4 linked regions of the Drosophila melanogaster genome follow. The main gene of each other region encodes a partner of the protein of the gene in region 2 in a complex. Each region holds a gene or a part of one and is shown on either strand. Other genes may lie near its edges.

Region 1 (6,859 bases), on a different chromosome or scaffold from region 2:
TGGGGGTGCAGATTTAGCAGGCGGAGGAGGTGGTGGAGGTGGAGGCGTTGCTGGTGCGTTGCCCGAAGCTGGCTTTCCGGTGGACGCTCCTCCGGGCTTGGCGGATCCGGCGGCGGCGGCAGCTGCTCCTCCAGGCTTGGCGGCTCCGGCGGGGGCTGCTCCTCCGGGCTTGGCGGCTCCGGCGGGGGCTGCTCCTCCCGGCTTGGCGGCTCCGGCGGGGGCTGCTCCTCCGGAGTACTGTCGTTTTGTGGCGATTCCTCCGGCGGCTGATCCTCCGGTGGCTGATCCTCTGAGCCCTCTTCCTCCTTTAATGAATATAGAAATTTCAGTTAAGCATATCAATAAGTGCAGGTGTCATTTATGAAATGTCATTATGACAAAGTCATTGACAACCCAGAAAATTGTGGAATCAGAAAACTTTTCACTTAGAACTAACCTGCTCCTTGTCCACCTCCTTGGAGGCTGGAGTGGGTGCACCGGGGTACCAGGGATACGGCGGATACTGGGGTGGCGGCAGCCAGCGCTGGTCCGGGTATCGATAGGGTGGACATAGGCGCCGCAGGACGGGAAACGGGTTCGGACACATCCCTGTTGGCCAACACGTAATTTCTAAACAGCCACGTGCTCCGTTTATTCAGCAGCCGAGGCTGCCGGCGCAACAAATTCATCGGTTTTCGAGCGAATGAATGAGACTTTAAGTTAAAATGTGTACTTATAAAAATATATGTGTTTTTTTTTTTTTTTTGTTGAGAGAGAATGTGTGCCGAGGCGATGAGGTGTTGAGGTGTTGAGGTGTTGAAGTGTCGAACTGTGTAGCAAAACTGAGGAGAAGCCGGTGAAGTGCCCGTAATACGACTTGACACTAGAGGCATAGCCAGCTGGATTTGAAAATCTTTTCGAAATGAAAAGTTCAGTTTAACTGAGTAGTAGAACAGGCTGCTTTATACAATGTTTTGGATGCGTGGAATTTAAATCAACTAAAGAGAGTTCCTCGACTATAAGATACCCGTTACTCAGCTAGTGGATGTGAGAACGCGAAATTTTATCATTTTCTGGGCAAATCGATAGAAATTTACAAGATTAATAAAAATGCGAAAAAAGATCAACAAACTTGCGCTACGTCTTTGTCTCTAGAATCTGTATGCTGGATCTCAACCTTCTAGGTACGGACATGGCGGACAGACGGACATGACTAGATCGACTCCTGATCAAGAATATATATACTGTACATGGTCGGAAACGCCTTCTTCTGACTGCTACATACTTTTCAACAAATTTAGGGTACCCTTTTACTCTTCGAGTAACGGGTATAAAAATGGATAACAAGTCAGATTTGAATCCCCGTTGCTGAACCGGTAAATTGATATAGAAATTGTAATTCAATCCAAAACCGAACTCATTTTAAGCAGAAATTGTTACAAAAATACAATATATTAATATAAATACAAGTATTAATTAATATTATTAATTTTAATAATATTTTTAATGTTAAATTAATATTTATTTATAGTTAAAGGCACTTAATTATTTAATTATATTTTATTATAATAATGTGATACAATAATAAACAATATTTTCAAACTTATACCGATCGATATGTACCGCCGTGCTGACTGTAATCGATGGTCGCGATGCCCTGCCAATCGACTATCGATAACAACAAACACGAAGATATAGAGGAAAATAGAGAAGAAGAAGAGTTAAAGAAAACGCCAACAAAATAGACAACAAGGCAAGTCCGCGCCTCCGAACAAGGACATTATACCACAAGACACGCTGCAACTAGTTATAAGCCGCATAGCCGTGCTGATTTTCGACCGGAGTACGAAAAGAAAGCAGCCAAAACGGAGGCGCGCAGGCTAGCGGAGATCGCGGCGATGGAGAAGAAGGCCAAGGAGTCGCTGCGCCGCTACAAGAAGGCCGCCCGTCACAGTGCGACGCACTCGAGCAGCTCGGACTCCACCTCGGACTCCGACAGCGGGAGCAGCTCGTACAGCAGCACGGACAGCGAGCAGGGCGTGGGCGGCGTCGGCGTGGGGGTGGGCGTACCTGGTGGCGCCGGTGGTCCCGGCGGCAGTGGCAGCGTCCACGGTCATCCCCATACCCACGGCCATGGGCATCATCCGCGCTCCGCGGAGCGTCATCATCGCAAAAAGAAGAGCTCACGGCGCGGCGGCAGCTCGTCCGGAGATGAACCATCGTCGTCGCGCCGCAAGCGAGACAAACGGGATCATGTGCAAAAGAAGCTGGTGGCCAAGCGAAATCATATCAAACGGAAACTGAAGGAAGCGCGCCTTAAGAAACGGGCGGCCGCCGCCCTCAGTGGTCACGTCCATCGTTCCCTGTCGCCGACGACGCGAGCCAAGCTAAAGAAGCTGGCCGAGCGAAAGAGGCTACGGGCTGCCAGCAAGGAGCAACGGGAGCGGGACAAGCTGCGCGTCGTCCAACGAGACAGAGAGCGAGACCATCATCGATTGGGCAGCAGTAGGAGTCCGCCGAGCAGCAGCACTACCACCACCACCAAGATTCGCATCCATCAGGACATCGTGGGTAAGCGGCAAAAGAGTCCAGGTAACTATCAGATACTACATATAGTTATGTCTAGGCTCAACCCACTAACCCATTAATTTTGCTTGACTTTAAGGTTTAGGTTCTGGTCTTGGAGGCGGCAGCAGCAGCTCATCCTCGCGAATGCATCACCAACTGATGTCGCGAGAGAAGATCATCATCCAGACCCGCGCACGTGGACGTACTCCGTCCCTGGAACGGGAGCGGGAAAGGGAGCGCGAGCGAGAACGAGAAAGAGAGCGCGAACGCCACGATCTCTCATTGCGGGAGCGAGATCGTCGGGATCGGGAGCGCGAGCGTGCGGAACGGGAGGCAGCCAGGGATAAGGAGCGCGCTGAGGCCTTGGCTCGCTGCCAAGAACGTCAACGGGAGCGGGAACGCTTGGCTCGCGAAAAGTTGCGTCGTCAGGAGGAAGAGGAAGGTGGTAAACGCGGTGGTCCCGGTCGAGACTTGGATCTTCCGCCGTATGGCAGCCGGGAGCGATCGCTGGACACCGTCGAAAGGGAACGAGAGCGCGAACGGAGCGGGCGTCATGTCCGCGATAAGCGCGAGTTGGATCCCTACGAGCGTGAGCAAGAGTATCTGGAGGAACGACACGGCCACGGGCTGATCGACGAGATGCGAAGGTATCGGCGCAGGGACCTCAGTCCCATGCCTGAGCATTATGCACCCAGACTGCGGGATCCGCGGGAACTGTACTCCGAGGAGGAGCGGGAGAGGTAGGTTTAGGTTCTGCACTTAACTATTCCACGAAAAGCTGAAACTGTACCATTTTGGTTACTTTTTTCTGTTACCTAGAACATAGTTAACTAGGTAGCAGAACGGGAACCTTTTCTCATTAATGTTTATGGCCACGAAATCGGCATTAGCTAATCCGCTGTTTGGGAATTCCTTATTTTAGAGCCTACAAACGCGCCTATCTAGATGCCCGCTATTCCTCGCGGGAACGAGAAGCCTGGCTGGAGGCACGCGAGTTGCGGGAACGAGAGCTGCAAGGACGCGAGTACCGTGACCTCGAAACGGAAGACACCCTCTATCCGGACGAGCGGGAACGTCTAATCCGGGACAGGGAGCGTGATCGGGAACGAGAACGTGACCGCGAAAGGGAACGTAATATTGGACCCCGTGGCGACTTCCGACCGGAGTGGGAACGCGAGTGGGAGGAGGAGGGAGCTGGTGGCGGCCCAGGCGGACCTAGTGGAACCCCTGGGCGACCGGGTGGCTTTGTTGGCGGACCCAAGCGGGGCAAACCCCCAGCTCATGCGGGCGGAGGACCTCCCTCGCAGCAGCAGCACCATTCTGCTTCGGAGCCCGACTGGGATGCGGACGAGCGGGAGCGAGAGCGGGAACGAGAGCGCGATCGGGAACGCGAACGCGATCGTGAGGATCGACCGGACACAGGAGGCGGAGGCGCTGGCGGCGATAGGCCATCTATCAAAAACGAGCCCGCTTGGTTGGAGCACGATCAGCGGGAAAAGCCACGCGGCTGGCAACAGCAGTCGTCCAATTCTGGAGGTGATTGGCGGGATAACGATGACGCGCCGCCAGCACCATCGCATCCGCATCCAGCTTCACCGCACCACCATGTGCATCCGAGGGGCGAACGAGGATCCGGCAGAGGATTCCGGCGCGGAGGCCACGGTCATGGCGATCACGGCGAGCGGCCCGGTTACCGATCGCATCCGCCACCGCTGATGACGTTGCCGGTGCAACCGCCTGGTGGTTACTCACGCGGATTTCCCCATAAGAGATTGCCTTATGGATCTGGCCGAGATGGCGCCGCACTGGGCGCCCGTGACGGCGGACTGCCCGGATCGTCGACTTTCCTCAAGAAGCACACGCACGCACCGCTGGTCTCGCCGACGCAGACACCACTCCTGAATCCACTCCTCAACGCGGCCAAACCAAATGCTGCCGCACAGGCGAGTGCTGTGGCGGCGGCCACCACAGCAGTGGCAGCGGCTAAGGCTGCGGCCCAAAGCGCCGCCAACGCCACCACCAATCCCGGAATACTGGCTCAGGTGCGATTGATTTTCGTTTACTTCGCTGCAGAGACATCGGATGCGGCCTATCATATCATTTGGCGGCAATGATTTCGTCTTTGTTTATAATTATATAAATGTGTTTATGTTAGCTGAGTGCAACGTTCATCCATTCGAAATCAATTGTTCACCAACCGTTGTGCAATAACGTAGTCATTTTGTCCAGCGGAAATGGTAAAACCATAACTTTCCATTAGTAATAAATTTCTCTTATTGTAATCCTCATTCGATGTTTAAGGTAAGCAAACTAAATACCGTGTGCATCAAGCAGGAAGATGCGTCCGAGGACTCCGCAGGCACACCTGAACTGGGCGCCCAAGATTCGCCGACCCAGAGCCTGAACCTGAATCAGTCGCTGTCTTCCGAGGGCAATCCAGTTAAACAGGAGCTAATCCGCACCAGCGCCGTCGAGGGTGAGCTGAGCGAGATTAGCGACAGCGATGACGATATTCTCAATAAGACGGACAAGGTGCGGCCCAAGAACGAGCTGCCCACGGAGACGGAGCAGGAAATGGACACCAATGCGGATGAGGTCAAAAGCGAGGCACTCCACATTGTGGCTGGGCATCCGATCAAGGGCGAGGAAGGGGACGAGGTGCTGGACTTTGAGGAAATATCCGATGGCGAACTCGAGGAGGATGCACGCCACAAGGGTGAGTCACTCATGTATAAACATTTTTCCTTATCCGATGACAACATGGTAGTCACAATGCTTGTCAATACTTGACTCGGACTCGGATTTATGGTCACATTTATTTGATTAGTATTCAATGGTCAGGTGGAAATGATGAATGATTACAGTTAGAGGCGATAGTTATATGTAATTTCCCATCTCCCATTCCGCAGGCATTGGCGATGCTTTGGGCGTGGACTGGCAAGGATTGATAGCAGAGACCCGTCAGCAGGCCAGCGATGCTCAGGCGGCCCAACAGGGCGTGGATCGCGGCACATCCGCCAAGCAGAGATGGCAGCCATATCGCGTGCTCCTCGACTTGGGCATATCGTTCGGAATGGCGGGCGAGGGCTACGCCCGTTGCGTAATGGAGGAGGCGCGCCAGCAATTGCTCCAGGAGAAGGAACAGGGCCAACAGCGCGAACTGGATGGAGACGAGGAGCCTCCGGCTAAGATACCCTCGCCACTGCTCGACTATCGCGAATTCCTGGCCAGCCAGCAGCAACTGGAGCCACTGGCCTGCGTGCAGATGGGTCTTCGCAGCGCCGCCGTCGAGCGCCAGCGTTTGGTGGGCAATGTCTGCGGTCCGGGAAGCCGAGCTCTGAGTGCTCGCCAGGATTTGCGCTTGCGCCGCCAGCTGTGCGGATTGCCAGCACGCGAATGCGAGTTCCCGCGCAGTGTTCCCATCGTGGGAGAGGGACTGCGAAACCTGGCAATGCAAATGTTCCAGCGCAGGCTTCTGGATGTCAAATGAGATCCGATGCCCGGCGTGCAGCGAGAGCTGCGTTACCGAAAGCCACGTCACTATCGACTGGATATACAGATCTTTATGGGCGTGGAGAAGGGCAAGGCGACGAAACGAGACCACTACTAGGTGGATTTTAGGAATAAGCTTAATGTTTGAGATATAACTTGATTTCGATTATTGATTCAAACTTGGAAATTGTGAAAATTGTGAAATATGAATTGCATTATAAAAATTGTAGATTATAAATTGATTATGAATTATACAAAATTGTGAATATCAACTGCATTAATACATGTTCGAAATATAAAGTGTCGTCCCAATAAACAGAGTGTATTTTCATTTCATTCCTGAGCTCGGAACTCAATGCATTGCGGAAGTTCTGGAAAGGATGTGGTGCTTGTGGTAGCGACGAAAGGATGGGAAACATTTGGTATTTTTAATAGTAGATTTATTATATCGTCGTTGGAACAGTTTTATAAGAAACCTAGTGCCGAAAACAATGTTAAAATAAATGTTACTTCAATAAATACATACATTCATAACGAACGGCTATCGTGTATGTGTGTTAGGCTATTCGTAATAAGCAACTCAGGCCAGGCATCGTGGAATAATCTGCGTACATTATACAACTTAAGATATCTCCTAAGGATTAGCGGTACCCAATCTCCAGACCTAATACTAATTAATGTATGTATGTATGTGCTGGGCTATCACATGCGATGGAAAAGCTGTTCGCAAAGAGCGTAGCAAGGATTCCGGACTTCCAGATTCTCTGATCGCAGCCAAATGAGTGAGTCCACCGATGTACAGTTAAGGTAAGGGTATGTG
Region 2 (6,968 bases):
TTTAAAAAAGTATTTTAAAACTTCTAGGCTTACTACTTCTCTCTCAAAATTTAGAAATTACCGATTGAGGATTGGATTTTTATAGATACTAAAAAACATTTTCAAAACAATGTTATGTTATAAATTTCATAATATTTTTGCTTGGCTTCTACAAAATGAAAATTTTTTAAAAAGTACTGCTTAATTTTAAAGCATTGTAGCTAGAAATTTCAATTTCAAATGAGTATTATTGCTTTCAATATTGTTATCAGATTGTTTATAGCTAAAACAAATATATTTTTTTTGCAATGTCGGTTCATGTCATTATGTTAATAGGGTTGGAACTGAAGATATCAATCCGAAAAACTGCCGGCTTTGCTCTGCTATAAATCTGTACTGAAATATTATATAATGTTAACTACTTCTTCACATTATATAGATCAAATGTATGCACTTGTTTTGTAGCTTTTTTCCAGTTCTTAAACAAATTTAGAAACTATTTAGAATAATAGAACAATTTTTGGATTAACACTTATTTTATTTTATTTACATATTTGTACAACAGCCCTAATATTAGATATTTAATGTTGTTCATATAACAAATATCCCGAACATCAACAATATTTCCTTATGATCTAATGACCCTTATGATCAGTTAAGCTTTCAGCCCTTTATGCAATTGGTTATTTCGGTCCAGAAGGCCTGAACTTCAGGATCCTGCATTAAACTACGTTTCTTAGCGTTCAAAACTATGTTGAGGATGTCGGCATTTTTGCAGCAATCCCGTCTGGCGGATTTGCCATCCGGCGCCTCCGGGGAAAAGCCTTCCGTCTCCTGGTCATCCATTGGATCCACTTCACCCGCCGGACTGCCCAATTGTCCAACTGCAAAATAACAATGTATTTGGGGGAATCTATTGCTTAATCAACTTAAATACCTTTCTTGCACTTGGTCGCCTCTGTTTTCGGTTTTTCTGTCCGTTTTTGGTAGGGTTTTCTTGGTTTTGAGACATCTTTCGTCTTGCTGCGCTTGGCATTCGCATCGGTGGGCAGCAATTCGGGACTCTCGGCGGGATTATCCGCATCCTGCTGCAGGCGCCGCTTGACGTGCAGATTCAGGCGCTCCTTGATGTTTTGCTGTTCCAGTTTTATTTGCACACCAGTGGTTTCTGCCATGTTTTTGCGTTTTGAATATAAAAACAATATCCAAAACAGTCCACCAGTGTGACCCCTAAATAAATCTTACAAAAAAATAAACAGTAACGTAAGATACAACTTTCTCACTTGTATTTGATTGTTCCTAATTATTTCTAACTATGTAAATATCGTTAGTATTGGATGCAAAGCTATGGCGGTAGACGTAAGGAAGGAATTATCAGTGCAATTTAGAAGTTAAATAAATTTGTTATCTAATAATTATTTGGCAAAATTTGTGGCAGTGTGAACGGAACTGGGTTGAGTCTCCGCTACCCCATATCCGAGCCACGCACCCCAGGTCTGCATTTGTGTCGATGGCAAATCTGGTATTTTTCAGCGACGCCATGTTGGATTGCGAACAACAGTTAACAGCAGCAAACGAGAAATCAGCTCGCAGCGCAGAAAAATTAAAAAATATCGCCGTAAAAGTGAGCCCAACCGACCCAAAACATATGAAAAGTGTGAATTAAAGGACAATAAAGATATAAATCATTAATTAAGCTTTGAGCAAGCGCGAAAAGTACGCGAAATCAACGTTTTGCAAAACGTTCGCCATACGCGTCGCCATTGGTGTGAGCGATAGCTTGCCTGTGTGTGCGTGTGGTATTGGAGGAGGTGAGAGCGCCTGTGTGTGTGTGTGTTTGCGTGCGTGTGTGAGAGCGAGCGAGCGGCCCCTATGAAAAGCAACAGCAACAACGCCAGCAAAGGACCCGCAACAACAACAACAACAACAGCAAGAGTAACAAGCACAGCGTTTTAATATCCAAATAATGAGTGTCGCTGCAATGACTATGGACGATCAAAGACCCTGTATGAACAGTTACGACAAAATGCCCCCGACCAAATACGAGCAAAACCTAAATATCCTAAACAGCAGCCAAAACAGTGGGGCCACTGGCGGCCCCGCCTCCCCAACGCCCTCCGGCTTGGAGGACCACCATCATCATCACCATCCGCATCCGCACCATCATCACCATCAGGAGCAGCAGCAGCAGCAGCAGCAACAGCAACACTTGCAGCAGCAGCAACAACAGCAGCAGCAGCAACATGCAGCAGCTGTTGCAGAGGCTGTTGCAGCCGCCGAACAGCGACAGCGCTTGCTCGAAGGTATTTTGCACATTTTGGTACACTGCTATATGATCAGAGATCTATCTGATCTATATAATACCCCCTATATACTACATACATACTCGTTTCGAATACCGACAAAAAAAAAAAGAAAAGGAAAAAACCACGATCCAAAGTGTTGACTCTGTGTAAATTGTATAAATAATGCAATATATAAACAACAAGTAAACGTAGTCTTTTAGTTTATTTCTGCCCCCACTCCACTTGGGTTTCTTGTGTCATTTGAATTTGTTTATGAAAAACACTCGGTAAAGAACTCAACGTATATATTATGTGAATCGAATCGAAGCGAACACTCTTTGCAACGAACATTCTTTCAGCGGCGTTTTGGTTAACTTTATTTATTTATTTTTTTCAACACCACCTCGAGCAAACCGTCGAATGTAGTGAAAGTGCTTTCAAAAAGGACCATGCATATAATAATCTATAATACCTAAATATGAACTAAGTTAAAAGGCAACTGACGCCTAAAGTTATCAAGTGATTACAAAGTGTTGTGCAACAGAACTATCTAAAATATAAAATATGAGTTAAATAATCATAAATAATATATGAGAATCGTAACCAATTATAACCAGTAAGCTGAGCTAAGCTTTAATATTGAAAGCAATCGTACTTAAAATAAAAAATTATAAAATGAATCATAAGAAGATAAGGTTAACGAAGTAAAGTTTAAGATTTTATATAATCTTAATGAGAAAACCGGGCTGATAATAACATCAAATGAATAGAGCATATCAAGTAATAATAGTAGAGAATCCTAATCGGAGATTTTCCTCGTTTTCCGTCGTTTTTGCGGTGTACAGTTTTCGTTTTGCGACCACTTTTCGTTTGCCTACGTGCCCGTTGAAGAAGAAGAAGAAGCACAGCAGCAGAGAAGTGGAGAGGAGAAGAAGAGAGCCAACGTGTCTGCGTCCCCTGCCCCACCCCCTGGACCCATCTTATTCTCTCTCTTCGCGCCCCTCACGCTCTTTTCGTCGCGCCTAAATATAAATAATAATATTAAATAATCAATTGAAAATGTGACAGTGCATAACCAAAGAGAAAATAAAGTTGAAATTCTTTTTCTGTTGAAATTGTGTTAAAGAAGTGAACGTCAAATGAAAAAAACATTGCCTCGTGTGTTCAAACAAATACAAATGTTTAAATAAATGGCGCCAAAATACGGCGAACATGTGTGCGTTTGTGTGTGAGTGTGTATATTCACAATTGTTAAGCTTACTTAATTGATTTTTAAACGCTTAATTGGCCGCCAATCAATCAATTAACATGCAATGTGGGACACACGCACATGCACACATTTGTTTGCCCCGATCAAATAGTATATATAAATATAAAATAATTGCTTGGCTAAGTAAATACAAAAGCGAAGTTATATATGTACGTGTTTGCACAACAAATCCAACAAAAAATGCAAAGTCAATAAACTTTTTGTATGACAAAAGAGTGTTCGAAAATGCCGCAAAAAAGAGAAGGGGAAAAGCTTTTGAAATCCATGCATACATACATCCATGCATAGGCATACGAAAAAGCTTCCGAAAGCCCATTGTGTGTGCGTCGAGTTTTTTGCAAGTGTTTTTCAAAAATATTTTCAGTTTTGCCACAAAAAATATGTATACCAATCAGTCATCGTTGTTTTCCACAGTGTATGCAAGTTCGAAAATGCCGCGAAGATTCAAATTCAATCGCCAATCAAGTTCGATGCAAATGCAAATGCATAAGCAAAAGCAAGAAATCAAAATGCAAATAATGGCAGGTGTTCAAGTTATTCAAGTGCCAATGATAATGCCAGAGATAACGAAGCAATCGAAATCGAAATCCAAACCGCAAGCGAATTCGATACCGAAATCGATATCGTGTTGTCCAAGTTCAAGTGGTTCAAGTTGTGACACTCGCATCGAATCAAAATCTAAATCAATATCATTATCAGCCAGAGATTGACGACGGGATGCGGCCTTTTCCACCGACCATGTCACGAACTTACACGAATGATTGCAACGCATTGGTATGATTTCGTATTAAGTTCCACCTAAAAAAACAAACACTTTGCCTTGCCCATTAAGAACTTGTAAAATATCTATGTATATATAGTACGATATTGTTATATCTCGTGTGCGAACCAAAAAAAAAAAAAAAAGACAGTGGCTCTCTCAGCTTGGAACGCCCGTTATCTAGACCCCATTATTAGCTAATCCTTATCCTTCGATTCGCAGATGAGATCGAGAATCTCAAGCTGGAACAGGTCCGCATGGCTCAGCAATGCGCGGACGCCCAGCGACGCGAGAAGATCCTCATGCGACGGCTGGCCAACAAGGAGCAAGAATTCCAGGACTATGTGGTGGGTACTCGCCTTAATATACACAAATTTCTCAAATACTAATGCACCCGTAATCCCCATTAGAGCCAAATTGCCGAGTACAAGGCCCAACAGGCGCCAACTGCCCTCGCATTGCGCACTGCTCTGCTCGATCCTGCGGTCAATCTCCTGTTCGAGCGGCTCAAGAAGGAACTTAAGGCCACCAAGGCCAAGCTGGAGGAGACCCAGAACGAGCTGTCCGCATGGAAGTTCACGCCGGACTCTAATACCGGCAAACGCCTAATGGCCAAGTGCCGACTGCTCTATCAGGAGAACGAGGAGCTGGGCAAGATGACCTCCAACGGCAGACTGGCCAAGCTGGAGACCGAACTGGCCATGCAGAAGAGCTTCAGCGAAGAGGTCAAGAAATCGCAGTCGGGTAGGTTAAATCTGAACTAGGATTGGGATCGAAACTTATAGATATGTAAACTCCTTTACCATTTAGAGTTGGACGACTTCCTGCAGGAGCTGGACGAGGATGTGGAGGGCATGCAGAGCACCATTCTGTTTTTGCAGCAAGAACTAAAGACCACACGCGATCGCATACAAACGCTTGAGAAGGAGAACGCCCAGTTGAAACAGGCCATCAAGGATGAGGTTGTGGCTCCAGCGGCTGCCACCAACGGTGGCACCAACACGACGATAAATAAGCTAGAGACCATTCACGAGGACGCTTGCATGGCGAATAACCCAACGAATCCGGATTGTTACAATGGGAATACCAACAACGAACAGATCGCGGCCGTGCCACAGATACCACTGTCGGATGATGGCAGCAATATGAACGGAAATGCAGCGCGATTAGCCCGCAAACGAAACTACCAAGAGGAGGAAGCCCTTCCAACGGTAGTGGTGGTGCCGACTCCCACCCCAGTAGGAAATAACGTCCAGGAAGCGCCGCCCATCAGGGAAGTTACCGCCCCACGTACTCTGCCGCCCAAAAAGTCCAAGCTGCGAGGCATTACCACGCGTCGCAACTCCCAGCTGGAGGAGGATCATCAGCCAGTGACAACACCAGTGGCCGTCCCCATGATCGTGGACAACGCTGTGGCCGGAATGGCGAGCGAAGAGGCTGCTGCCGCCGCTGCGGCTGTTAATAACAGCAATACGGGAATAATCCCGGAAACGGGAGTGCAAGTGGGTGTCCCAGTTGAGGGCGGCGATCCAGGTGCTCCGGCGGCACCGGGCCGCATCCTGACCCGTCGTCGGTCCGTCCGCATGCAGCAGAACGGCAGCGGAGCAGTCGACTACTCCACCTAAGCGCTGGCGAACCTTTTTCCAAAAAAGGGTGCACTCCATATGAGTTCGTCAAATTGATCGTTAATTCCTGACGTTTACTTTTGTGAATTGAGATTTCAAAACAGAGAGAGACTTCATTTTATATTTCTAACCTATCTTTTAGATTCTTTAATTTTTTTTACACATTGTCTTGTAAAATACGTTTATTATTTCGTTTGCATGCGGCGTAGACATACATAATTCGCAAATTATTTAGAAGTCACTGCTTTACATACGAAATGCATTATGTAGAACAGTGTAAAACTTCAGCACATATATTTACAATAATACGATCGAGCTAAATGATAATGCTAAAAACTGATACACTATTTATGTTTTTTAACCACGGCATCTACTGAAAAGCTGAAAAGAAAGCTTGGTCAAAACAAAACTTGTCATTTAGCAAAATTAGGTTTTAATTATCAACTTAAGGCATTTTTGTAATACTATGAAAGTTGTGTAAAATAATATAAACTTGTGTTAAAATAAATTGTTAAGCATAACAAATATTTCAAAAAACCAGTGTCCTTTAATTTCAATTGCCGCCCAGCAAAACAATCGTTTTGATTTTCGAAATTATCTTGTGTTTATTATCAGTTTCTTCTTTTAGCACATTAGACAAATGGTTTTACTTGTATTTGATTGAATTCGAAATATGTTTATGTATGTAGTACAATTGTGGCTGCCAGCGAGTGTGTTTGTATCCTTTGTTTCGTTTGTGTCTGTGAGAAGAGTTTAAACTTGAGATCGGGCTAAAATGTTCTGGTAAAGAGGCCTGCAAGCTTGGCATAGTTTGATATTTGCTTTACCCTACTTTCAATCGAAATGTACAAAATGAGTAGGGATGTGGTGAGACAACCTGCAAGGGGGTTAAACGTACTTCCGATTCCATATTAAATAGTTAATAACAAATACTAGGCAGTTCGAATGGCACAAGTTGATTACACTACCATGGGGAAATGTGGGGTGTCTAAAGCTTAGCGAGTTCTGTTCCGATCGGAGGAGATATCCTTTCGGCTGAGAGTTTGTTT
Region 3 (8,020 bases), 9.5 Mb from region 2:
AATCCGCCTGACTGACGCTTGGTGGCGTGGCCATGGACGGATTGGAGCGCCTCTGCAGCAGGGCAAGCACCATTTGGCCAAAGACCTGCCACAGCTCCTCGAAGGCCTGCGGCGGCAGATTGGTCAGGCAGCTTTGGTTTTGAGGTAGAAAGTTGAACAGCTCCTTGGCGAGCTCCCTGGAGGATCTGGCCTCCTCCTTTACACTATCCAGCATTGTTCGTGAGGGCGGCCTCGAGGCGGACACCTTTATTTGTGTCGGCAGGTCGGTAACGAAATCAATCTCGCGGTGTATATCACACAAAGTGGTACAGGTGGCCACACTCGCATTGGTCGGTACGTCCTCGAGCTGCAACTCCTGCTGCAGATCGCTCAGCGGACTCATGGGCTCAATTACGACATCATCTCGCCACGATAGCATTTCATCAAGTATCTGCCGAATATTTGGCAGGGGCTTTGGTTCGGGAAAGCATGTGCCCACATCGTGGTGCTTGATGAAGGAGGCTGTAGTGGTTCCCCGGGTGGTGGTGGTGTTCTTGTGTTGCGTGGCCTGGTTGCGCGTCTCTATCAGACCTTCCACTTGCACAGCAACAGAGCAAAGCGCGGGCTTGGGATCAGCGGGTTCCTCGTCGGTTTGCGTAGATTGGTTGACTCCGGGCTGATGGGCTTTCCGTTTGCTACGTGAATTCGGGCTCTTTGGCGTGGGCACGCTTACGTCTATAGTCTTGCAGTGCTCCCTTAGCTTCTTCATGATGTTCTGATCCCGCCGCAAAAGTCCACAATCGTCGCCCAGCCGCTGGGAGAACTGCATGAGTATGGACAGCACATCCTTGGCTTCCACGGGTAGTCCCCGCACTTGCAGCTGCTCCTGCAGATTCTCGCAGTTCCCAACCTGTACGTCCAGCTCCTTTTCCAGCTGTCCGCATCGCTCGCCGATCTGCTTGGTGCGCTTCTCCAGCTCGATCCTCTGTTGCTTCTCCTTCTGGTACAGATCCGTCACCTCTTGGGCGGTGCGCTGCAGGTCGGCCAGCTGTTTGTTTTGAGCCTGCAGCTGTTTCACCTGGCGGATCAGCTCGTCGTTCTGGGCTATTCGCTCGGCCAGCCGGCTTCGCTTGGCGTACACATCTTGGTTGCTCCTGGGCAGCGACACCTGCTTATACGGCGCCACCAGAGCATCTTGCAGCGGTGCGCTTGGGCCCAGAAGCTGATCTATATTGAAGTCGGAGAACTCGTCCAAATTCATGTTGCGCAGACTTGTTGTTGCTGGATTTCACGTGGTTGCGTGTTCAAGCGCCACTGCGGTTCTAGAACTTGCAGAAAACAAGGAGAATCCTCATTTTCCACACAATTCGCTAGTCGGTCACGAGTTGGACAATATTAAGCTGCGCATCTGGCGATTTAATACACAAAACAGAGAAATAAAACAAAATCCGCGTTTTTCTCTGCAGCCGGTCTCCAAAACATTTCCCTTATCGACAACCCAGCACGAGCCTATCGATATATATGGTATGGGACTATTTTATGGAACTCTTATAGGTCGTTCTCACTACTTCGTTTTTGATAGTTCACACTTTATTTATAATAAGAGGTTCGAATTATAGTTTGATAATATTGTAGAGGAAGTAAATTTTGAATTACTGATAATAACTAAATTTACATGATTTGCGTGCGTCCATTGAAGGGAAACAAATGTACTCTGAATCAGTGCGATTCCCTGCGTTAGGTTTAAGCCTATGGTTTTTAGGGCTATTTTACAATCTTTTAGAAAACATTGAGAGCATCATTACCAAAAATGGGGAATATTGAGAAAAAATCCAATTCATTTCTAGACATGAGCCAATTGTGACGTTAAAATTTGATGCATTGTTTTGCGCAAGCTACTAGACTGAGACAATTTTTGTTTAGTTTTTAAAGATGTATTCAACATATTCTAAAGCATACCCTCTTGAATACCCCTACCAATTGTAGTAGAGCAATTGATGATATCGATCACTTATCGTCTTAAGTTCCATCCCTAGCAGTTGCGGAAAATAAATAAAACTTCCGGACTGTAGAAGATTTTACTGAAAAAGACTCGATTTAAGCACACAACATGGCCGACGTAGACGACGGGTCCGAGCTGCTGTTCTTCGACACTTTCTCGCATGAGGAAGTGACGGTAAGTGCCTCCAGAAGCCCCCACTCGGTGCATTCGCTGAACCCCACTTCCTCCTCTCCTCATAGGACATCAATTTGGATTTGGTGCAGTTTCCCAAGCCGGTCTTCATCACACAGGTGCGGATCATTCCTCTCGGCGCCCGAGTCCAGGCAGACTTTCCCGGCGGCGTTCGCCTGGGCGCCACCAACCCCTCCAAGTTCGACCTGGAGTTCTTCGTCAATGACCTGGGAATGCCGGCTGCGTCGGCATTCGAGAACCTCGGCCTGCTGCGTTACAACCAGAACGACTGCATTCACTTGGATTGCTCGCAGGAGAAGATCGTCACCGACGGTCTGGTGCTGCGCGGCTGGTACAGCACCATCACACTGGCCATCTACGGCATTTTCACCAACTCGGTGACCGAGCCAATCGCCAGTCCAACGCTGCCCTGCGAGCCCGTGGGCCCGGAGATAGCCAACCTGAGTGGCGAGGTGCTCCTCCAGGAGGATGTGCTGAAAGACGAGTGGCAGGAGCCGATGCAGGCCGAACTGCTGACCGCTCACAAAGGAAATGTCAGCGATTACGATCCGGAGGACATGGAGTATGGAATGTCGCGGGATCATTACCACCAGCATGCCGAGGAGCAGGAGCAGCGAGAGATGCGACGACTGCGTCGGTCCACGCATTCCACGGATCACTCACCGCCACCGCCCAGAAGATCGCACACGCATTCGGAGAGCAACGACAGGGAGTACATCAGGTGGTAAGTGGTTATCTGTTTTATTTATTATATTCAGACTTATCACAGACCTTTCATTGCAGTTCCCGCGACAAGGGCTCCAGGGATTGGTCGCGTTCACCGGAGTATTCCAGCCATCGGTCACGTCGCAAGCGCTCCGAGAGATCTCGCTCCGTTGTGGACGAGCACAAGTGGCCCAGAACCCCGCCCGCGTCGATAGACTCACCGACACGTCCGCGTTCGCCAGACACGATGGACTACGAGGACGAGGACTCGCGCTCCCACTACAAGATGCAGTCATCTCACTACCGGCACTCCTCCGAGTCGCTGCACCGTGGTGAACGGGATCGGGACGATGAGGACCGATCGTGCACGCCGCAAGAGCAGTTTGAGCCCATTCTCAGTGACGACGAGATCATCGGCGACGACGAGGAGGACGACGCAGTGGATGCGGCTGCCATTGCGGAGTACGAGCGGGAGTTGGAGGCTGCTGCTGCCGCTGCTCCTCCGGCCATCGATGCTTTCGAGCCGTGGCAGAAGCCACTGTTGGTCTTTGAAGGGGACATGGCAGCCCACTTCTGCAAGGAGCTGGAAACTCTGAAGCTGCTCTTTAAGAAGCTGGTCCTGCAAACCCGCTGTGAGAATGTTAATGCCTTCAGCGAGGAACATGGCGCTAGTGTGGACGAAAGGGAGCAATTTGTGTACTTGGGTGAACAACTGAACAACCAATTGGGTTACCTAGCCCAGCACTACAAGCGGAGGAACTTTGTCCTGCAGCAGTTCTTCGGAAACGATGAGCTACATCTGCGACAGGCGGCTAACGTGCTGCAGATTGCCCTGAGTTTCCAGGCGGCATGCATGCAACCACAGCCAGCTTTTAAGATCCGCCACATCAAGCTGGGTGCGCGAATGGCTGAACTTCTGGGCAGTAGCGAAGAGCTCTTCCAGCACTTGTTGAAAGAGCACAAATTCGATATCTTTGAGGCGGTGTTCCGGCTGTACCACGAACCGTACATGGCTCTGTCCATCAAGCTTCAGCTCCTCAAGGCCGTCTACGCCCTGCTGGACACCAGGATGGGTATCGAACACTTTATGGGAGCGAAGAACAACGGCTATCAGATGATTGTTGAAGCCATCAAGACAGCCAAGCTGACCAGGACGAAGTACGCACTGCAGGCGATTATAAAGAAGCTGCATTTGTGGGAAGGCCTGGAGAGTGTACAGATCTGGTGCCGTCGTCTCTTCGTGGACCGAATAATCATACCTGGTAATCGCGATCAAATGGAGGACACAGTGATAACTTGCCAGCAGATAGAGTTTGCCTTCGAGATGCTGATGGATGCACTGTTCTCCAGCCAGTTGAGCTACTTGCAGCCGCGTCGCTTTCTGCCCGTGTCCAAGAAATTCGAGGTGGTGACCGATCCCACGGCGCAGCGCAGTTTCGGAAATGCCCTGCAGTCCTACTTGGGACAGAACTCACTGGCGGAATCCCTGCTGGTCATGTTGGCAAACTGCAAGGAGTTGCCGGCCACGACGTATCTAAGCATGCTAGACTTGATGCACACCCTTTTGCGCTCGCATGTCGGCATTGATTACTTCGTGGATGATGCTTTTCCTGTAACGCAGACGATTGTGGCCATACTGCTGGGCCTGGACGAGGTTCCTCGAAACCCGGAGGAAAAAGAGGAGAAGGCAGAGAAGTCGGATGCAGAGGACAAGGCAATGGAGGTCGAAAATGAAGCTGTGGAAGCTGGAGGCGAGAAGCCAACTCCACCGACGGCCGACGAGGAGGGGAAGCCAGTTGCGGCCCCGATTTCCGTTCCAGCTCCAGCTGCTGCTCCTCAAGTGCGACCCAGGCCGATCCTGCGCCCAGTACTGCCACGCCTGGCCAGGTTGGGCATCGAAATGTCGTACAAGGTGCAGACGCGTTACCACCTGGACGCCATTGCTTACGCTGCCGCGGCTCCCGAATACGATGCCGTCAAGTTGGCCACGCATATGCATGCCATTTACTCGCAAACCTGCGATCCGGCTGGGCGGCAGCACACCGTGGAGGTGCTGGGCTTGAATAACAATCTTAAGATCTTCATGGATCTGATCAAGAAGGAGCAGCGTCTGCAGACGCAACGCCAGCTGAGTTCGCCGGGCACGAAGTACAAGAGTCCGGTATTGAGCTATGCCGTGGACATGGTGGACGCCTGCGTCCGCTACTGCGAGCAGTTGGACTACCTTATCGAGCACGGAGGTGTGATCCTGGAGCTGGCCAAGAACCACGAGACCTTCGAGCCCTCGGTGTCGGCCGTCCTGCAGGAGATGTACGTGTACATGAAACCCTTAGAGGCCATCAATGTGTTCGTATACGATGACATTATGCCGCTGGTGGAGGTGATAGGACGCTCCCTGGATTACCTAACCACTTTTCCCGGAGATCTGATAATGGCCATGCGGATTTTGCGCTATCTCTCCATAAGCAAGCCGCTGGCAGGTCAGAAAGCTCCTCCAGTGACCGAGGAGCTCAAACATAGGTTCGTGGCCCTGCAGCTGTACGCGGCGGATGGTGTCCAACTTTGCATCCAGATCATGGAGCGACTATGCGCCTACTTCGAGCAGCCGGGTGCGCACGCTCCCGCCCTGATGACCATCCAGGGAGTGCATTGCTGCCAGATCATGCTGCCAACGCTACAGATCCTCCGCGAGCTGCTCTCCTACGCGATTCTGTGCAGAGACGGCACCTACAAGGACCTCACAGCCATCGATCACCTGGTGAAAGTGTACTACCTGCTCTACTACTTCCCCACGCGCTGCCAGGCGGGACCCGAGGTGGAGCAGTGCAAGATGGAGGTGGTCCAGACCCTGCTCGCCTACACCCAGCCGAACGAACAAGACGAGGAGTCGCTGCACAAGTCCCTTTGGACCCTGATGATCAGAGAGGTGCTTAAGAATGTCGATGGTCCCGCGCACTTCATTCCTGGTAAGCTAGACTTTGCAAGAGATCTGATCCATCTAATGATTCCTTCCGTACAGGACTGAAACTTTTGGCGGAGCTGCTTCCACTGCCGCTGCCTATGCCCCAGCCGCTATGCGACCAGTTGCAGCAGCAGCACAAGCAGCGTCTGATTACCGAGCGGAAACTGTGGTCCGCCCACTTGCATCCCCAGAGCGGTCAGATCGCCAAGCTGGTGGAGGCACTGGCTCCGTCCAGTTTTCCGCAGCTGTCCGAACTACTGCAGCGAGTGTGCATGCAACTGTCCGACCTGGCGCCCAACATGACGCTGCTGATCGCCAAGACGATCACGGAACTGCTGTGCAATGAGTACCAGACATCCAACTGTATTCCGACCACCAACCTGGAACGGCTGCTTCGTTTCTCCACTCGCTTGTGCGCTTTTGCCCCTTTGAAGAGCTCCATGCTGTCCATACTCTCCGGAAAGTTCTGGGAACTCTTCCAGTCGCTGCTGGCACTGAACGAGTTTAACGACGTGGTTTCCAACTGCCAGGAGGCCGTTCACCGCATTCTGGACAGTTTCCTAGACTCGGGCATTTCGCTGATTTCGCACAAGAGCACGGCTTCGCCCGCTTTGAATCTGGCTGCCGCACTGCCACCCAAGGAGCTCATTCCGCGAATCATCGATGCGGTCTTCAGTAACCTGACAAGCGTGGAGGTCACGCATGGCATATCGATTCTAGCGGTGCGCAATCTGGTCATCCTCACGGAGCACGAGTAAGTTCTGAATATCACTCGCACGCTTTTAATATTAATATTATCTATACCGCCAGCTTCACTTTCTACCATCTGGCGCAGTTGTTGAAGCAAAAGATCACCGAGTTCCAGGCGTGGATGGAGCGCGTGATCCTTCACAACGAAACGGTGGAGTACAATGCCAACATCGAATCTCTGATCCTGCTGCTGCGCTCTCTGACCCAAATAGAACCGCCGCCCGCCATGTCGGCCATGCCACACCGCACTCTGAAACTGGGCGCCACAGAGTTGGCTCAGCTGGTTGAGTTCCAGGACATTGAGCTGGCCAAGCCACCGGTGCTGAGCCGCATTCTCACCGTCATGGAGAAGCATAAGGCAGTGGCCAATGAGGCGGCGCTGAGCGACCTCAAGCAGCTGATCCTGCTGCAGGCCTCTAAGCAGGAGATTCTCGCCGGAACCAGTACGGAGACGCCACCAGAGGCGGAGGGCGAAGCCAATCCATCTGCCAGCAGCTGCAGTGCATCTCTGACCGTGGAGCCCTATCTGCCACAGGCCGAGGGCATTGTCACACAGTACGAGGCGCGTCCGATCTTCACGCGATTCTGCGCCACCGCCGAGAATGCCCAACTAACGGCGCGCTACTGGCTGGACCCGCTGCCCATCGAACTGATCGAGGACATGAACGAGCCGATCTACGAGCGCATTGCCTGCGATCTCACGGATTTGGCCAACGTGTGCCTCAATCCGGACTTGAATGTGGCTGGCGATAGCAAGCGGGTCATGAACTTATCCGGCTCGCCCCAATCCAATCGGGAGATGACGCCCACGGCGCCTTGTTTCCGCACGCGCCGTGTGGAAGTTGAGCCCGCGACTGGTCGACCCGAAAAGAAGATGTTTGTGTCGTCGGTAAGGGGTCGTGGTTTTGCTCGGCCACCACCTTCCAGGGGCGATTTGTTCCGCTCCCGGCCGCCCAACACCTCGCGACCGCCATCGCTGCACGTGGACGACTTCCTGGCCTTGGAAACTTGTGGCGCCCAGCCCACAGGACCCACCGGCTACAACAAGATACCCTCAATGCTGAGAGGCTCCCGGGTGGGTCGCAACCGAGGATCTCGAATCTCGGCAGCAGCTGCCTTTAGGTAAAGTGTCACGATTACCACTTAGCAGGATAACGCTAATGGGCTCTTTTTACTCTTTTAACAGGCAAAAGAAGATGATGCGCATTGGTTCGCCCTCCAGCTGGGCAGAGTCCCCCGGATCGTATCGGTCTGCCTCGGACTCCCACTTCAGTAGCAGCGACTCGCACTATTCGTCGCCCCACTACAGTGGACGGCCGCGTGGACGAGGCCTGCGTTCCAGGCCATCCTACCTGAGATAGGAGGACATTGCAGCCCAACCCGCTTCTCACTGACACTTCCCGTAAACTCGGCAAACGAACCAGAACTAG
Region 4 (4,333 bases), on a different chromosome or scaffold from region 2:
TATGCTTTTACTGTCCCTACGTCGCATTTTGTATGTATGTACATAAGTGAAATTTGTTTACACTCACCTTGGGATGCAATTGGGCGGCGTTCGGTCCACTTCCCAGGCGGCGAATAGCTTCATGGGCACCGGTTTCTGGCCAGTGGTCATTCCTGCTCCGGCGGACAAGCCAGCCGTTCCGGATATGCCACCAGATCCGGAGACTCCTCCTCCGCCGCCGGAACCGCCGCCTCCTCCGCCACTTTGCAGGTTGAGCGGACCGCCTCCAGGGCCGCTGCCGCCGGTGCCGCTGATTACGGCAAATTTATCCACCAACTTGGACGACTTATCGACCATCTTCATGTTGTTTCTTTGCTGGTTCCCGTCGAAAGGTATTTTTTGTGTTCTTAACTGTTGTTTATGTACTTGGGGTGCACATTATTTCGATGCAAACTGGGGAATATATGTCGTCGAGCAGGCACATAATTTTCAGATTTTCTGATAGTTTTCACAATTCAATATTTCGAAAGTTTTTTTTTGTCGATTTTCTGGTTAGCCCGCCAATACATACATATACACACGCACGAACGGACATACACGCACGTTGGGGAAGGGCGTGCCGCCGCCTTAAAAAAAGAAGCGAAGAGCTGTAGTATACACAGTGAAAAACGAGGGGTGGTTGGTGGGTGTGTGGGTTTCTTCTTTCGTTCTTTCTTTCTTTCTTGTTGTTGTGATGGGGCGCGCGCTGCAACTGCACTCGCACTGAATCAATATGTATGTACGCGCTGCGGAATCTGTTGCGGATTAGACAGCTCCTTCTCCTCGGCTGCTAGCGACTCGGAATCGGATTTGGATTCGGAACGGACTCGGAAGCTGCTGCTGCTTGTGCTGCAGCTTTGGATCGCGTCGAAAGTGCCGCGAACGAACCGTCATGCTCCAGAGTAAAAGTGCGAATGTCGCGTTATAAATCTGGCCCCAGTTCAGCTGCCTCACTCTCGCTCTCTCTTCTCTCTCTGTCACCCTCTCTGTATCACGACCCAACAATAACAATGTGTGCAAATGCTATGTGCACACACACACATAGACGAGATTTTCGCAAATCCCCACTTCTGTGTACGCGCGTGTGACTGTGTTTGAGTGCGCGCACTTAATGCTTTGCTCTCTCTTGCGCGCATAAACAAAAAAGAAAACGCCACGAATTTCGGGGAGCAGGCAAAAGGCGGCACTCGCTCTATTTCTCTTCAGCACTCGCGCGCGTTTTTATCGCGAGTCGATCACAGGTTAAACTGATTGGGTTATTATTTACGATTGGAGCGGTTTTCATCAAATATTTATGCGTTTCGGCACGTTTTATTTGGCAAAATGTTGCGGAGCAGCTATGTTGCAGCTTCCGCTTTTTGCGATGGGGAGCGGAGCAGTGTGGCCAGAGCGGATTCCTTGAAAATATCAACTGGGCGGTGCGGGTAAAATCGTATATACCAATCAATAAATAACTGTGTGTGGTCCAATAGATCATACAAATTAGAATAAGAAATATAATGGGGGCACAGCAATGTTAATACTTTCAACGTTTTTTAATTTTAATTTTGAATACCAGCCTACTTCCAACACTGGCCCTTTTAACGTTCTTGATGGTAATTTAAAATTTACTTGTGTAAAATGTATAAGTAGATTACCTTAGTTTAGTATTTTAATGTAACGTGTTTACCTGCAATGTGAACACGGTCACACTGCGAGCCTTTGTAAAAAAAATTTCATTGTTTACCAAAGGCCGGCAGCGTTTTATAAACAATGGCAGATGCGTGGGACATAAAATCACTCAAGACAAAGCGGAACACGCTCCGCGAGAAGCTGGAAAAGCGCAAGAAGGAGCGCATTGAGATTCTCTCGGACATTCAGGAGGATCTGACGAATCCCAAAAAGGAACTCGGTGAGCACCGGCAATGGCAACAAGTTGGAGCCACAAAAATGAATATATTTTTGCATTTCCAGTTGAGGCTGACTTGGAAGTACAGAAGGAGGTGCTGCAGGCCCTCAGTTCCTGCTCCCTGGCCCTGCCCATTGTCTCCACACAGGTGGTGGAAAAGATTGCCGGCAGCAGCCTGGAGATGGTGAACTTTATTCTAGGCAAACTGGCCAACCAGGGTGCAATTGTGATCCGGAACGTGACCATCGGCACCGAGGCCGGCTGCGAAATCATCTCTGTGCAGCCCAAGGAGCTGAAGGAGATCCTGGAAGACACCAACGATACGTGTCAGCAAAAGGAGGAGGAGGCCAAGAGAAAGTGTGGGTCTCACAGAAATTACTACTCTCATAAGTCTAATAATTATAATAATTTGCTGTTGATTTTACAGTGGAAGTCGACGATGTTGATCAGCCACAGGAGAAGACAATAAAACTGGAGTCCACTGTAGCGCGGAAAGAGTCCACAAGCCTGGATGCTCCGGACGATATTATGATGCTGCTATCCATGCCTTCCACCCGCGAAAAACAGAGTAAGCAGGTGGGCGAGGAGATTCTTGAGCTGCTTACTAAGCCTACGGCCAAAGAGCGATCCGTGGCTGAGAAGTTTAAGTCCCACGGCGGAGCGCAGGTCATGGAGTTTTGCTCCCACGGCACAAAAGTCGAGTGCCTGAAGGCTCAACAAGCCACCGCCGAGATGGCGGCCAAAAAGAAACAAGAAAGAAGAGACGAAAAGGAGCTTCGCCCGGATGTTGATGCGGGCGAAAACGTCACCGGTAAGGTACCCAAGACAGAATCGGCAGCCGAGGATGGAGAAATCATTGCGGAGGTTATAAACAATTGCGAAGCCGAGTCGCAGGAATCCACCGATGGCAGCGATACCTGCAGCAGTGAGACAACAGACAAGTGCACCAAACTGCATTTCAAAAAGATCATCCAGGCTCACACGGACGAATCTCTGGGGGACTGCAGTTTCCTAAACACCTGCTTCCACATGGCCACCTGCAAGTACGTGCACTATGAGGTGGACACCCTGCCGCATATAAACACAAACAAGCCCACGGATGTGAAAACCAAATTGAGCCTCAAGCGCAGCGTAGACTCCAGTTGCACGCTCTATCCGCCGCAATGGATTCAATGCGACCTACGCTTCTTGGACATGACGGTCCTGGGAAAGTTCGCTGTGGTGATGGCCGATCCTCCCTGGGATATCCACATGGAATTGCCCTACGGCACAATGTCGGACGATGAAATGAGAGCACTGGGCGTGCCGGCACTTCAGGATGACGGCTTGATCTTTCTGTGGGTCACTGGACGAGCCATGGAACTTGGCCGCGACTGCCTCAAGTTGTGGGGCTATGAGCGCGTGGACGAACTCATCTGGGTAAAGACCAACCAACTGCAGCGAATTATTCGCACTGGGCGCACTGGTCATTGGCTAAACCACGGCAAGGAGCACTGTTTGGTGGGCATGAAAGGCAATCCCACAAACCTGAACCGCGGACTCGATTGCGATGTGATCGTTGCGGAGGTGCGGGCCACCTCTCACAAGCCGGATGAGATTTATGGTATTATCGAGCGTCTAAGCCCGGGTACTCGCAAGATCGAGCTCTTTGGGCGTCCGCACAACATCCAACCGAACTGGATAACCCTGGGAAACCAACTGGATGGCATTCGACTGGTGGATCCGGAGCTAATTACGCAGTTCCAGAAGCGTTATCCAGATGGTAACTGCATGTCGCCAGCTTCTGCCAATGCGGCGTCGATCAATGGAATACAAAAGTAGGATTAAAATAGTATTTGCTGTATGAATTGAGACCTCGACAAGCCAGAGCTGTGTACAGACTCAATTATAGTAAGATAAATTATTATTAAAGCTTTTACAAACCGAAATGGCTTATGTGGAACATTTAATAATGAATGAAGGCAAGTCCATCATGCAGACTAAAGTTAAATTTGCCCTTTTGGGAATTGAAATGACTTAAACATCAAATGCCATTAAATATCACTATATGTTAATCCACACATATAGATAGGTTTATTGCTCATACTAGGGGATTTGCGCGTATTTACAAAAGTGCGATATCACCGAACCCGGTGATTCTCTAGATGTCGTATATATTGGTTTATATAGAACGCAGTACGTGTACATATCACTATCAGCTATGCACGATATTGGTTGTTTCGTTACTCGAATATGCTGGTAACAATAGCTTATTTGACTTATCAGAGAGAACATGGTTTATGTAAGTTAATATACGATTAGAAATGCAGCGTACACAATGTGCTCGACTGGCCACTGCTCCAGCCCAATTCCTGCTAGTGTACTTGATGAGTGTATTTACAAGTCAGGAATGAGAGCATCGGCATGTGTCCGTTCATAGTTTGCTTT

Evidence for each region.
Region 1: fl(2)d (region 2) and Flacc share a complex: the UniProt entries of both Drosophila melanogaster proteins name them as parts of the WMM complex.
Region 3: fl(2)d (region 2) and vir share a complex: the UniProt entries of both Drosophila melanogaster proteins name them as parts of the WMM complex.
Region 4: fl(2)d (region 2) and Mettl3 share a complex: the UniProt entries of both Drosophila melanogaster proteins name them as parts of the WMM complex.

The regions. Positions count from the first base shown.
Region 1 is NC_004354.4:18,888,471-18,895,329, reverse strand, and holds Flacc (Fl(2)d-associated complex component), read left to right. Parts: upstream 1-1,693; 5' UTR 1,694-1,877; coding exon 1,878-2,571; intron 2,572-2,644; coding exon 2,645-3,287; intron 3,288-3,469; coding exon 3,470-4,589; coding exon of another isoform or gene 4,590-4,661; exon of another isoform or gene 4,662-4,784; intron 4,785-4,848; coding exon 4,849-5,263; intron 5,264-5,456; coding exon 5,457-6,037; 3' UTR 6,038-6,352; downstream 6,353-6,859. Other genes in the region: SdhBL (succinate dehydrogenase, subunit B (iron-sulfur)-like), read right to left, coding at 1-305, 437-668. UniProt on the Drosophila melanogaster protein: Associated component of the WMM complex, a complex that mediates N6-methyladenosine (m6A) methylation of mRNAs, a modification that plays a role in the efficiency of mRNA splicing and is required for sex determination.
Region 2 is NT_033778.4:13,819,106-13,826,073, reverse strand, and holds fl(2)d (female lethal d), read left to right. Parts: upstream 1-1,520; 5' UTR 1,521-1,945; coding exon 1,946-2,282; intron 2,283-3,898; exon of another isoform or gene 3,899-4,308; intron 4,309-4,516; coding exon 4,517-4,641; intron 4,642-4,704; coding exon 4,705-5,038; intron 5,039-5,104; coding exon 5,105-5,919; 3' UTR 5,920-6,450; downstream 6,451-6,968. Other genes in the region: CG13339 (uncharacterized protein), read right to left, coding at 643-863, 917-1,154. UniProt on the Drosophila melanogaster protein: Associated component of the WMM complex, a complex that mediates N6-methyladenosine (m6A) methylation of mRNAs, a modification that plays a role in the efficiency of mRNA splicing and is required for sex determination.
Region 3 is NT_033778.4:23,360,324-23,368,343, reverse strand, and holds the start of vir (virilizer), read left to right. Parts: upstream 1-1,988; 5' UTR 1,989-2,089; coding exon 2,090-2,155; intron 2,156-2,220; coding exon 2,221-2,897; intron 2,898-2,956; coding exon 2,957-5,844; intron 5,845-5,897; coding exon 5,898-6,594; intron 6,595-6,650; coding exon 6,651-7,712; intron 7,713-7,776; coding exon 7,777-7,951; 3' UTR 7,952-8,020. Other genes in the region: Ice1 (uncharacterized protein), read right to left, coding at 1-1,240. UniProt on the Drosophila melanogaster protein: Associated component of the WMM complex, a complex that mediates N6-methyladenosine (m6A) methylation of mRNAs, a modification that plays a role in the efficiency of mRNA splicing and is required for sex determination.
Region 4 is NT_033777.3:24,030,427-24,034,759, forward strand, and holds Mettl3 (methyltransferase like 3), read left to right. Parts: upstream 1-1,730; 5' UTR 1,731-1,770; coding exon 1,771-1,909; intron 1,910-1,971; coding exon 1,972-2,265; intron 2,266-2,333; coding exon 2,334-3,727; 3' UTR 3,728-3,831; downstream 3,832-4,333. Other genes in the region: KrT95D (krueppel target at 95D), read right to left, coding at 68-342. UniProt on the Drosophila melanogaster protein: Catalytic component of the WMM complex, a complex that mediates N6-methyladenosine (m6A) methylation of mRNAs, a modification that plays a role in the efficiency of mRNA splicing and is required for sex determination.